Linked DNA regions of Mus musculus: all the other regions are reported to be linked to region 4. Evidence: microRNA targets listed by miRTarBase, many of them from high-throughput screens and not tested one by one. Region 4 holds a microRNA gene; each other region holds the end of a gene's coding sequence.
Evidence for each region. Region 4 holds the annotated microRNA mmu-miR-466f-3p (CAUACACACACACAUACACAC, at 1,630-1,650, shown strand). A microRNA usually pairs through its seed, bases 2 to 8, with sites in the 3' UTR of a target mRNA and lowers its output. Matches are read on the target gene's strand: a 7mer-m8 pairs with bases 2 to 8, a 7mer-A1 pairs with bases 2 to 7 and ends in A, and an 8mer does both.

Region 1 (3,212 bases), not on the chromosome of region 4:
AGTATGTTCCTTTCCAATTCTGCTTGACTTCTGTCAACTTAACAAAATTTCTCTCTTCTATTTAAGAGCATGAGCCTCTTGGGAAAAGCTGGGCTTTCCTGGTTGGTGTTGTTGCCACTGTACTGCTAACTTCACTGCTTATCTTCATTGCTATCAAGTGCCCAGTATGGTACAATATTCTGCTGAGTTACAACCACCATCGCCTGGAAGAGCATGAGGCAGAAACCTATGAAAATGGTCTTACAAGAAACCCAAGTTCTCTTTCACAAATAACAGATACGAACTCTGAAGACACCACAGTGATATTTGAACAGTTGCATGCATTTGTGGTAGATGATGATGGGTTTATTGAAGACAGATACATAGATATCAATGAGGTACATGAAGAAAAGTAATTTTATCGTGTTTAAATTCTGAAAAATACTTTCAGACTATTTACAGCTTAGACAGAGATTTTTATTTGGCAAACAAAACTATAAACAGCAAACCTTCATATTAATTAGTACCTTATGTTAATATCACAGTTATTACTTTTTTCTATATGTCACAAGGAAGTCTAAATGCAATTACTCATACACTGGTTAGCTGTAAGTTTAATGATTTATCTATACTACCAGCATTTACTAGTGTCAGCAGTGTTCGGGAAACTACAGACTGCTAAAAACAAGGCCTAAGGACAATTATTTATCAACTAAAATGAGCAGATTCTTATATTAAAAAATACACATGCTGTGATGTCTTAAATTATACTAAAATTGTAATCAATAAAGAAATACAAATTTTAGGCTTATATTATCAAAGTGAGGAACAGGCAGCTTTAACTATATAAAGTGATCTTATGTTCACAAATGAATTCACAGAATTAAAGAATATGCTGCCTAAACTTAAAAACAAAATTTCCTCAAAAATTTGTAGCACTTTAAAGCACAGATGTAGTGATTTGGAATAATCCCTACTAACCACTACTGCATTTGACAGTGGTTGTTAGGAAGAATTCCATATACAACTGCCATGATTGATATTACAATGGCTCCTAAAATGGGCATCATAACAATTATGAATTTTCTTTAAAAGACTAAACGTTTCTCTATTTCTTTTGGGAGATTATTTTTAAAATTATTGTGAGCTAGAACTGAGAATATTTAAGTAATCCACACACATCTATCTCTGTTTCAATAAACAGAGCAATGTTTCCCAAATTGATTTGTAGAACACTGATTTTCTATAATGACACTGACAACCATTTATAGAGGAAGAAAAAGGCAACTGGTCAAATTACTGAAGGAATCTAAATCTAAACATAGTTAAAGATTTTTTTCCTTTAGTACTTATAGATTTTACTAAGTTCAGGTGTTCTCTGATAACTCAAGAGTACAGTACTAAGTTTTTGAAGGGCATCTATATAGCATGTTCAGGTCCCTGGGTTCATTTCTCTCTCTCTCCTCTCCTCTCTCTCTCTCTCTCTCTCTCTCTCTCTCTGTATGTGTATTCCATACACACACAGAAACATTAAAATTTATTTGATAAACAAACCCTTTCTTGGAAGAATAGCTAATAGCTCACAACATATTAATAGATTAAAAGACACATTCTGAAAAAATAGCCCTAACATAGGAAGGGTCTATCTAAAGTGAAATGTTTGCCAATTCTCTTATAATAGCTAAGCCGCAAATATTATTTTAACAACTTAACAGTTTAAAGAATGAAATTAAAAACCAGCAAAATATGTATTTTACCATTGTATACATGGAAAAACTAAGTGTATTTACTTGCATCTGTAAAACACTGAACATTTATGGATGAAGTAGTGTAACACATTTTCTGTGATTTTCTTTGTATACATGAGAAGGAAAAGAGTTGAAGATGGAACACAGGTAGAAATGTGACAACAGACCTTGGTACATGATACACGAGCATACAATGCTCTGACATTCCAATTTCTCTTTAATAAAGATATTCAAAAGAATGTACATGATACCTTCTTACAAAAAAAGACTAATAATGAAGATCTTTTCATAATTTTCAAATAATGCTCATCAAGGACAATGTACAAAGCCTACTGATTGATAACTTCTTTCACTGAAGTGGAACTAAACGATCATAGTTCAATCTACTTAAAAGCCTAGGTTAAAATTCTAAGTGCTAGATATAAAGACATAATTCGTCTTAGAGTTTAAGTCTTTAGAAGCAGAAATCTTCTTATAAACTGGGTAGACCTTCCCTTTGTATAGAATTTAGCTCCTTGGGAGTAAATAAAACAGCATATATTTGACATTTAGATAAATTTAATATTAAGATGTTATGGTAAATTAAGAAATGATGATACATTTTCTATTACAAATATGTACTTTAAATGTAAGGTTTCAGTAAGATGCCAGTTGTGGTTCTTGTTAGTAATCCCAGCACTTGGGAGACAGAGTCAGAGATACTGACAAACTTCTGGGTTTGAGTACGATATCAACTCATAAGAATCCAACAATTAAGGGCTGGAGAGATGGCTCAGTGGTTGGGAGCACTGAATACTCTTCCAGAGGCCCCAGATTCGGTTCTCAGCACCCACATGGCAGCTCACAGCTCTCTGTGGCTCCAGTTTCAGGTGCTCCAATGCCCTTGCAAGACATATACGCAGGAAGAATGTCAGTGCACATGAAATAAAAACAAATAAAAGTTTAATCCAACAATTAACAAAATCAAAATAAGAGAAAAAGTTAAAATTGTATAAGGAAATAAATGACTCACAAGTTAAGTCACATACCAAAATTCATTTATGCATATGTACTTACGCTTGTCTTTCAGTAAATATGACATCCATACTTTGTGTTTCTCTGTCATTTTGAGCTTTAAGCTGTGTAAACAGTTAACACAGACATTATTCATTAAAAATAAAGGGTAAGCACCAAACTCTATGTAGCAATTACTCTAAAGATTATGATTTAAATGGGATTATTATAATTACAATAATGCCACATGCAGAAGTTAGAAAAAAATACAACTTCCTCTAACAAAAAACACTACCAGATAAATAAATTAGTCCTTATATTAACATAATAAGCTCATACCAAAATACTTCATTTTTCTTTAGTCATCTATCCAATAATTAAATTTAAACTTAATTTATGTAAACAACATTTCAGAAATATACTGTATGTTCACTAAATACTTGGTTAAGGGCTAAAGAGATGGCTCAGCAGTTAAAAGCACTGCCTGCTCTT
Region 2 (3,212 bases), not on the chromosome of region 4:
AGGAGTGAACATAAGAAAACCCAGGAAGGAGAAAGGAGGGGCTGGGAGCTGACAGACAGCCTGGAGGAGCTTTTCATCTTCTGGGATGTTGGTGGAGGAGGAGGCTCAGCCGGGTGTGCTCTGCCTCTCTGAGCCTTGTGGCTTTCACCACAGCATCTGAGTCTTCATTTGGTACATCCAATCAATGTTTGGGGATTTTGTTTTGAAAACAGGTGCATGTGACCACAAACAAGAAGCCCCATAACAAGGGCCTGAGTTTCCCTTTCCCATTGGTCACCCGAGAGAAGGGTCTACTTGCTTCTAGCTTCACACTACCAGCAAAGACAAACATACATCTTTCTTTCTTGAGTCAAGTTAGGGAAAAAAAAAAACAACCCTACAAGATCTTTGTGATAAGAATGTTTCTTCCAATTCCAGTTGAAAGATATCAGAGAGCTGTGTTAGCCTGCTAATAATATATCCTGGTAACAGTGAAATTAAAGGTCTTGACAGGTATTGGTGACACTCAAGAGGCAGAGAGGCAAGTGATCCCTTCAGCCCCAGGCCAGCTGGGGCTACAAATGAGACATCAAAAAACCAAGAGCAGGAGCTGGAGAGATAACTTAGCGGCTAAGAGCATGGTCTCCAGAGGACCCACACGGCAAATCACAACCATTTGTAACTCCAGTTAGTTCTAAGGAATCTGATACCCCAGGCATACAAGTGGTGCACAGACATACATGCAGACAAAACAGCCATACACATCAAATAAGACAAATTCCTTAAGTTCATCATTCTTGGCCTAGAGAGATGGCTCAGTGGTTAAGGGCACTGGCTGCTCTTCAGAGGTCCTGAGTTCAATTCCCAGCAACCACATGGTGACTCACAACCATCTGTAATGGGATCTAATGCCCTCTTCTGGTGTCTGAAGACAACTACAATGTACTCATATACATTTAATAAATAAGTAAATCTTTTAAAAATTAAGTTTATGATTCTCATTTTCCCTACAGGCCCTTACTTAGATCCCTCACTGGGTTCTATTGGTTTCCTTATCCTGATGACTGATGTAAGGCTACAGTCACCAGTCACCAAACACAGTCCATCTGTGGAAGATGTAAAGCCACTTTCTTGAAGATGCTTTTGTGTCCTAACAAGCATCTATTGTCATGAGAGATTAAAGGGACTGGCGAGAACCTTAAAGAACAAGGGTTTGTACCAGGCATGGTGGTGCCTACCTTTGACTCCAGCACTCGGGAGGATCTGAGTTCAAGGCCAGCCTGATTCATTACAAGCTCTAGGACAGCTAGGACTACATAGAGAGACCCTGTCTCAAAAGAACACAGCACATATAAAGGACGTGTGTATATCAGGCTAGAATGTAAGTAAAGACTTAATGAAAGCCAAACCAAGGCAGATAACAAGTTGGAGCCCAGCCTGAACTATACAGTGAAACCCTGTCTCAAAACAAAATCCAGTGTGTAAGTACATGTTTTATTTTTTTAAAGAAAGATTTATTTTTATCTGTATGAATGCCCTATCTGCATATACACCTGCACACAGGGAAAGGGCATCAGATCACATTATATACGGTTGTGAGCCACCATGTGGTTGCTGGGAATTAAGCTCAGGACCCATTGCCCTTAACTGCTGAGCCATCTCTTCAACCCCCTCTGCTTTACTAACATACACACATGCCTTACATATGTAAACAAAAAAATGTATACATGGAGCTAGAGAGATAGCTCTTCAATTACTAGTACTGGCTGCTTTTCCACAGGACCTGGGTTCAATTCCCAGCACCCACATAGCAGTTCACAACTGTCTAGCTCCAAATCCAGACCGCACCCACACAGACACACGTGCAGGCAAAACACCAATAAATAATTTTTAAAAAGTATATTCATACTTAAAATTTTGCTACTCAAATACTGAGAAGAAACCCATACAATTTTCCATAAGCAGCAGAGATCAGAAAAAGTGGTAAAAGCGAGACTTTGCAGTATACACCTTTTTACAGTCCTGAAATCTGAACCTGTTGACTGTATTGACCACTGAAAAACCAATCCCCTTTTGATATCAACCAGCACTTCCCATCCTAGGCTAGGCCTCTCTCTCCCCTGCAAGCCCTTCTCCAAGCCTGACAGGCAGGAGCCACTCCTGACTCGTGGAGGTGAATGACGGACATGGTCACACCGTGATGCCTTTATAAGGAGGCTTTATTGTTAATTATTTACCTTAATAGTCTCAGAAAGAAGAATAGATTAGCTCAGTCCAACATGATTTGCAGTTGGCAAAATCTAGTGAAGCAAGTGTTCTGATTGCTAAGGATTTAATCTGGGTGCTTTTAATACTTAGCCATCTAACACTTTCAACATAATCCAGAACTATGCATCAGCCCCTCCTTTTCCCTTTACCACCACACCTACCTCCCTTCATTACGGAAATATCTTCATTAAATATGATTCCCAGAGGACAGGTTCCCTGGAGCAAATAGCCATGAGGACAGTGCACAAAAAGAAAACTGAAAATAAAACTCTGTATGATAATTTACTAATCTAAGGAAACAAAACCTTCCAATATATTAAGAAATAAATCCAGTTACAAATGCACTAGTAGGTCTGTGTGGAGGCTCTGGCAGAGTAACTGAGAACAGCCAGTTATTTACAAGAGACACAAGCAGGAAGGGCGCACCTAGCCCAGCAAGGGCCTCAGAAGCCAAAAGTGTTCTCTCCGCTGTAGGCCACATACAAGAATCCATCTTCATCTTTTTCCTTCTCGTAAAGCTGTCCCATAGTTAGGCTTGAAAGAGAAAAAAAAAAAAAAAATGAGTGAGAATTGAGTCCTGGTATCAAGAGGAAAAATGAGGCCTAAGGATCGGACGCTTTGTGGTTGGTGGCTAGGAGGTAAAAATAATTCCGGTACCTGCTGTGACCTGCAATCTGCTCTACGGAAAGAAAACAGAGGCAAGGAAAACTGAAGATGGGCTGAGGGGTGGCGGTGGCTCACTGACAACATTAACCTAGCAGGCACAGGGCCCACAAAAAGAGGGCAGAGATCACAACAAATTAGGATGCAGGCCCAGCACATGCCTAGAATCCCTGCACTCATGTTGAAACCTGTAAGGAAGCCAACTCCTTGGAGATGGAAAGGATCATCCCACTGTCACAGGGAACATGTTGGGTTCTCTTCGTATTTATTTAAATATTTACAACTCAGACTCAAAGTCAAAG
Region 3 (3,212 bases), not on the chromosome of region 4:
ACGTGTGATATATGCGTGTTGAGTGTGTGTTGTATTTGTGTGGTGTGTGTGTTATATGGAAGTGACTATGCAGTGTGTGTGTATGTATATGTGACTGTGTGGTTGATATGTGTGGTATATGGTGCAGGATATACATACATAAACACAGGAAAACATAAAGAGAACATAAGGTATCCTGCCCTATCACCCTCTGTCTTCTAAATTCAGAGCTAGGCTCAGCATCCTTGTCTCGCCCCACCCCCAATCCCCTCTGTCCCCCAACACACACACACAGTGCTAGGTTTACATGCTAATAATGGCCATGCCTAGCTTTATATGCAGGTGCTGGGGATTTGAACTCAAGTCCTCAGGCTTGCGTATCAACTGCTCTTGTTTACTGAGCCATCTCCTGGGTGCACCTTAATTGTGTCCTTTATGAGTTCATTTGTTCACTTCAGGTAGATCATGCTGTGAACTCCAAAAGAGGAAGGCCTAGAATTATCCCTTAATGCTTTGGGTTCCCCATCACTTTATATTGAAAATAATAATAATTGTTCCTCAACTGTAAACTCTTATGCCTGCCTGAGAGAATCTGTTCTTCTCTTCCTATGCAGCCTCTCACCTCACAGCCTAACGGAGCAGGCATCCCTAGATGGATTGACAGGTGAGTAACAAAACTTCAGATGTGAAGTAGCTCACTGCTGGCCAGGAGGAGGCCAGCAGCAGGGATTTTAACCCTTGTGTGTCTGACTCCATGCTCTCCCTTCCCCCATCAAGTCTGCCACCCTCTTAAGCCACAGCCTGAAGGAGACACAAACCAGAGTTGGCATGTAGAGATAGATTTTATTTAAAACCAGTCAAACATAGTATTTCCTCTTTCTCTTCTGAAAAAAAAAAAAAAAAAAAAACAGAAAACAAAAAAAACCTCACCATCAACGACTGGTCTCAGATTTTCTAATTCAAAAAAATCCCATTTCAGAAAACAAACACACACTCCATAGCCAGAACAGAGAGTCTTAGTGCCAGTGTCGGGAATGGATGAAATGCACTGGGACTGGAACAGCCCGTCTTCCTTTCCCAGGTATCCTCAGTCAATTTCTTTCTATCCATTAGTAGCAACCAAATGCCAGCAGAGGGACCCAGAGATGGGTCACTGGGACAGGGACTGACCTCTGACCCTTCACCCTCCTGAACTTCTCATGCCTGATCTTTAGGCTGATTAAGAAGCAAGCTCAGCCCTCCTGCCAGACAACTGAGAAGGAAGCAGAAAGACCCAAGTTTCTCTACATGTTTCCTTATCGTTCTTCAGGGCTCTTCTTCACCATTCTATCTGCATGCACACACGAGCACACACACACAGAGGCACACAGAGATGGATGGGCATGCACACACAAACACACACACACACACACACACACACACACACACACAGTATTGTGTTTGTAAATCTCGGTATCTGGTGCTGAGCTTCTTCCATCTGCATAAGATGGATCCACTCAGTAGATACCCCAGGATAGACCCTGAGGAAGGCAGGGATTTTCTACAGTCCTCCCCTGTTGTACCTAGGGGTACCAAGAAAACATAGGAATATCTGCACTAAATAAGGGTCCAAACCAACTGGACCCTTTCTGCTTCCATGTCTCCTTGATGCCTCTAAGAGAGATCTTGGGCCTCAATTGCTATCACCACACCTCTCGGCATTAAAAGCTGGCAGACAGTGGAAGGCATACACAGAAGGGAAAATAGTTTTTCAGTGTCCTCCCCCCACCTTTTCATCTTCACAGCAGAATTTCCCCCTCCACCCCCATCCCCAGACCCAGAAGAACCCGAGAAGCACAATGCTCTCTTTGTTTCAGTAAATCCTGGGGAAATTCCACTGAACTTGGTGGCTGGTAATCTGGCCAGGATCCAAGAGAGGATGGTGACTTTGGACATTCCTGTTAACAAAGATTTTAGAGGAACGGTGGGTGAGCCGGCCAGGATGGTTTCTGTCATTAGGTTAAACTATAAAGGACCGCAGGATGACAGCTGGTGGCAATTCCAGCGATGCTTGTGTGCACAGTGACTTCTGGAGGTCTTGGCACCCTTACGAGCTGGGTGTCTAGCCTGGCAGTAAGGCTGAGACATCATCAACATGAAACATTTGCCAAAGGTACATACCAAGGCACTTGTAAATCTGATGCTGGCCAAGGACCAAGGATACCCCTTTAAGACTGGGAGGAAGGAGATGCAGCCAAGGGCAGCCCACAGTTACCTCACCAGCACTCCGAGGTATGGCACATGGAAACAACTGATTCAAAGGAATGATACAGGGCAGATTACTTGATGAATACTCTCAACCTTGGGCTCTTAAGAAAAAACAAAACAAAACAAAACAAGAGGATGGGCATAGTACCAAAGAGAAGACTTGGGGTGGGTGGGGGGTCTATCTGGTATGTTGCTGGTGTTGAACCTGTCCTCCCCAGACCAGATTTTGCCACGGTTCCTGATCCTGCCTCCACTATGGCTTCACTGTGAATACTGGTAGATGAGTAGGAGGGAATGAGACTTGAGGAGTAGCCCAGTCATTGAGAAGACTCAGAACTGTAATTTTGAGGATAACGAGCAATGAATGCCAATGAATGCCACCCAGACCCAGGACAGACAGAGCAAAGTAGTGCTGAGGAGAGTATACCATCACGAGAGAGACTGTTTCTTTCCTGCCTCACACTCCTTAGATCCCTCCTGGGCCTGGCCCTCCCTAAAAGGAGGATCACACTGACAGGTCATCTGACCTTGCTTTGCTGCTGGCCTTACTAAGGCGCCGTTTGTCACTATGGTAGCCCTGAGGAAGGCGGTGGCCCGCAGAGGCTCCACTGGCGTACTCTGGCTTCTGGCTATAGTGCATGTGGATGAAGCCTTCCCCTGGAATCTGCTCCTGGTTTGGCACTTCCCCAGTGGCCAGAGCGTCTGGATTCTTCCGGGAGCCCATGTTATTACTGAAGTCGCTGAAGAATTTCTCTCCGGAGCTGTTCTTTAGGCACTGATTGAAGTCAGGGGGAGGAGTGAGGCTCTGGACGAGGCTGGTGGGAGGGCCAGGCAGCTGGTGCTTGTCCACACCCTGCCGTGACTTGCCAAAGCGCTGTCGGATCTTCTTCCAGCCCAGGTGGTAGAGTTCAGCCAGGCTGAGAAACAGAGACAGTCCAGCCACAGCCATCATAAAGACAATGAAGACATTCTTCTCCGTGGGCCTC
Region 4 (3,000 bases):
CTGGGCCAGTGAATGGTCTCACTCAGAAGGTGAAAATGCTTGCCAGAATCAGGAGAATCAGGAATTCAAATTCATGCTCAACTTCCTGAGAATTTAGAGATTAGTCTGTGATTCATGTGATGCCCCCCATGTATGTGCCTGTGTGTATAGTTGTGTGTGCATGTGCATGTGTGTATATGAATATACATATACATACACACACACGTATAAACGCAAGCACAAACACACACAGAGGAATGGCACTCGTTGATCCATTTGAATGATATGTGACTTAGAGCTTTAGAGATTATGTAGTATTGGGCCACTGAAACTTTTCATTCACCAGGGAAGGCTTGCCAGAGCATCAGTATCCAGAGTTCAAAATCATGCTTAACTTCATAATGAGTTAAAGATCAGCCTGGGATTCATGGGCTGTACCCTATATATGGGCAGGTGTGTGTCTTGTGTGTGCATGTTCATTTGTGTATATGAATATGAATATACACACACTTACACACTCATGCACACACACACACATCCATTTGAATGATATGTGTCTTAGAGCTTGAGAGTTTAGGCAGGACAGTGCCAGGGAGAGATCTCACTCACCAGGTAACAATGTTTGCCATACTCAGGAGGATTAGGAGATGAAATTCATGCTTAATTTCATGATGAGTTAGACATCAGCCTAGAATTCATGGGATGTCCCCCATGAATGTATGTGCATGTGTATATAGTTTTGTGTGCATGTGCATGTGTGTCTATTAATGTACATATACATACACACAAACATATACACGCATGCGCAGATACAGACACAGAAATGGCTTTCATCGATCCATTTGTATAATATGTAAATTTACTGGGCCAGTGAGACATCTCACTCACCAGGCAAAAACATTTCTCACAGTCAGGAGAATCAGGAGTTCAAATTCATAATAACTTCATGATGAGTTAGAGATCAGCCTTGTGTTAATGTGATGACCCCTATGTATGTGCATGTGTGTATATTTATGTGTGCATGAAAATGTATGTATATATGAATATACATATACATACATACCCACACAAACATGCACACACACACAAACACACCCACAATTGCCACTTACCAATCCATGTGAATGATATGCAACCTAGAGGTTAGAGATTGAGTATTCCTTTGCCCAAAAGAGCTCTCTCTCTCTCACCAGGTGAAAATGCTTGCAGAGTAAGGAAGAACAGCAGTAAAAATTTATGCTTAATTTCATGATGAGTTAGAGATCAGCCCGGGATTTGTGTGTTGCTTGCTCTATATGTGTGTATACTTGTGTGTGCATGTATATGTGTGTATATGAATATACATATACATACACACCCATATACACACGCATGCATGCACACACACAAATACATATACACAGGAATGGCACTCATCGATCCATTTGAATGATATGTGACTTAGAGTCTTATAGATTATGCAGTAGTGTGTCAATGAACGGTCTCACTCACCAGGTGAAAATGGTTGACAGAGTCAGGAGGATCAGGAGTTCAAATTCATGATTAACTTCAGTTAGAGATCATCCTGGCATTCATGTGATGCCACCCATGTATGTGAATGTGTGTTTACGTGTGTGTGCATGTGCATGTGTGTATATGAATATATGTATACATACACACACACATACACACTCATGTAACACACACACACACACACACACGAATGGCACTCATTTATCCATTTGAATGATATGTGACGTAGAACTATAGAGATTATGTAGTACTGGGCCAGTGAGTGCTCTCACTTTCTAGTTGAAAATGCTTGCCAGAATCAGGAGAATCAGGAGTTCAAATTCATGCTTACATTCATGAGGATTTAGAGATCAAACTGTGAATCATGTTTTGCCCCCCATGTTTGTGCATGTGCGTATAGTTGTGTGTGCATGTATATGTGTGTATATGAATATACATATACATACACACCCATATATACACGCATTCATATGAACACATCAACACACACGCAGGAATGGTATTCATCGATTTATTTTATTGATATGTGATTTAGAGCTTTAGAAATTATGTAGTACTGGGCCAATGAAACTTTTTACTCACCAGATATAAACGATTGGTATAGTCAGAAAGATCTGGAGTTCAAATTCATGCTTAACTTCATAATGAGTTAGAGATCAGCCTGGTATTCCTGGGATGTACCCCGTGTATGTGCATGGGTGTATAGTTTTGTGTGCATTTGCCTGTTTGTATATGAATATACATATCCATACATACAATCATATACAGGCACACAAAGACACACAGACATGAATGGCACTCAGTGATTCATTTGAATGATATGTCACCTCAAGTTTTGGAGGTTATGCAGTACTTGGCCTGAGAGGGGTCTCAGTCAGCAGGTGATAATGTTTACCAGAGTCAGTAGGCCCAGGGCCTGGCAAACGCAGAAGTGGATGCTCACAGTCAGCTATTGGATGGATCACAGAGCCCACATTGGAGGAGCTAGAGAAAGTACCCAAGGAGCTGAGGGGATCTGCAACCCTATAGGTGGAACAACAATATGAACTAACCAGTACGCCCCGGAGCTTGTATCTCTAGCTGCATATGTATCAGAAGATGGCCTAGTCGGCCATCAGTGGAAAGAGAGGCCCATTGGTCGTGCAAACTTTATATGCCTCAGTACAGGGGAACGCCAGGTCCAAGAAGTGGGAGTGGGTGGGTAGGGGAGTTGGGGGGGGAAGGGTATGGGGGACTTTTGGGATAACACTGGAAATGTAAATGAAGAAAATACCTAATAATAAAAGAGTTCAATTTTATCCTTAACTTCACGATGAGTTAGAGAGGAGCCTGAGATTTTTGTGATGATCCCGTGATGTATGTGTGTATATTAATATACATATACATAAACTCATACATACACATACATGTGACACCCACATATGAATGGCACTCATCGATCCATTGGAATTATTTGTGACTTAGAGCTTTAGAGATTATGTAGTACTTGGCCACTGAAAGTTTTGATTC

Region 1: miRTarBase lists Lrrc19 as a target of mmu-miR-466f-3p. Seed matches in the 3' UTR shown: 7mer-m8 at 1,483-1,489.
Region 2: the mRNA of Gabarapl2 is a reported target of mmu-miR-466f-3p. The part of its 3' UTR that is shown has no 7-base or 8-base seed match.
Region 3: the mRNA of Gja5 is a reported target of mmu-miR-466f-3p. Seed matches in the 3' UTR shown: 7mer-m8 at 1,706-1,712.

What each region holds. Positions count from the first base shown.
Region 1 is chr4:94,635,407-94,638,618 of GRCm38, reverse strand. It overlaps Lrrc19 (leucine rich repeat containing 19), which reads left to right. Exons shown (of 5, transcript NM_175305.5): 5 at 67-2,898. The coding sequence ends at 395. It overlaps Ift74 (intraflagellar transport 74), which reads right to left. Exons shown (of 20, transcript NM_026319.3): 8 at 2,784-2,845. Among named protein-coding and RNA genes, the nearest start is that of Lrrc19, 13 kb to the left of the region's middle.
Region 2 is chr8:111,951,884-111,955,095 of GRCm38, reverse strand. Gabarapl2 (gamma-aminobutyric acid (GABA) A receptor-associated protein-like 2) reads right to left here. Exons shown (of 4, transcript NM_026693.5): 4 at 2,181-2,781. The coding sequence ends at 2,691. Among named protein-coding and RNA genes, the nearest start is that of Gabarapl2, 13 kb to the right of the region's middle.
Region 3 is chr3:97,051,225-97,054,436 of GRCm38, reverse strand. It overlaps Gja5 (gap junction protein, alpha 5), which reads right to left. Exons shown (of 2, transcript NM_008121.3): 2 at 803-3,212. The coding sequence ends at 2,732. It overlaps 4930573H18Rik (RIKEN cDNA 4930573H18 gene), which reads left to right. Exons shown (of 4, transcript NR_152120.1): 3 at 594-643. Among named protein-coding and RNA genes, the nearest start is that of Gja5, 20 kb to the right of the region's middle.
Region 4 is chr2:10,467,100-10,470,099 of GRCm38, forward strand. It overlaps Mir466f-2 (microRNA 466f-2), which reads left to right and starts at 1,576; the gene lies at 1,576-1,669. The region is part of intron 10 of Sfmbt2 (Scm-like with four mbt domains 2); the gene reads left to right. It overlaps Mir669f (microRNA 669f), which reads left to right and starts at 130; the gene lies at 130-250. Mir669e (microRNA 669e) reads left to right here and starts at 396; the gene lies at 396-514. It also overlaps Mir669b, Mir669d and Mir669l.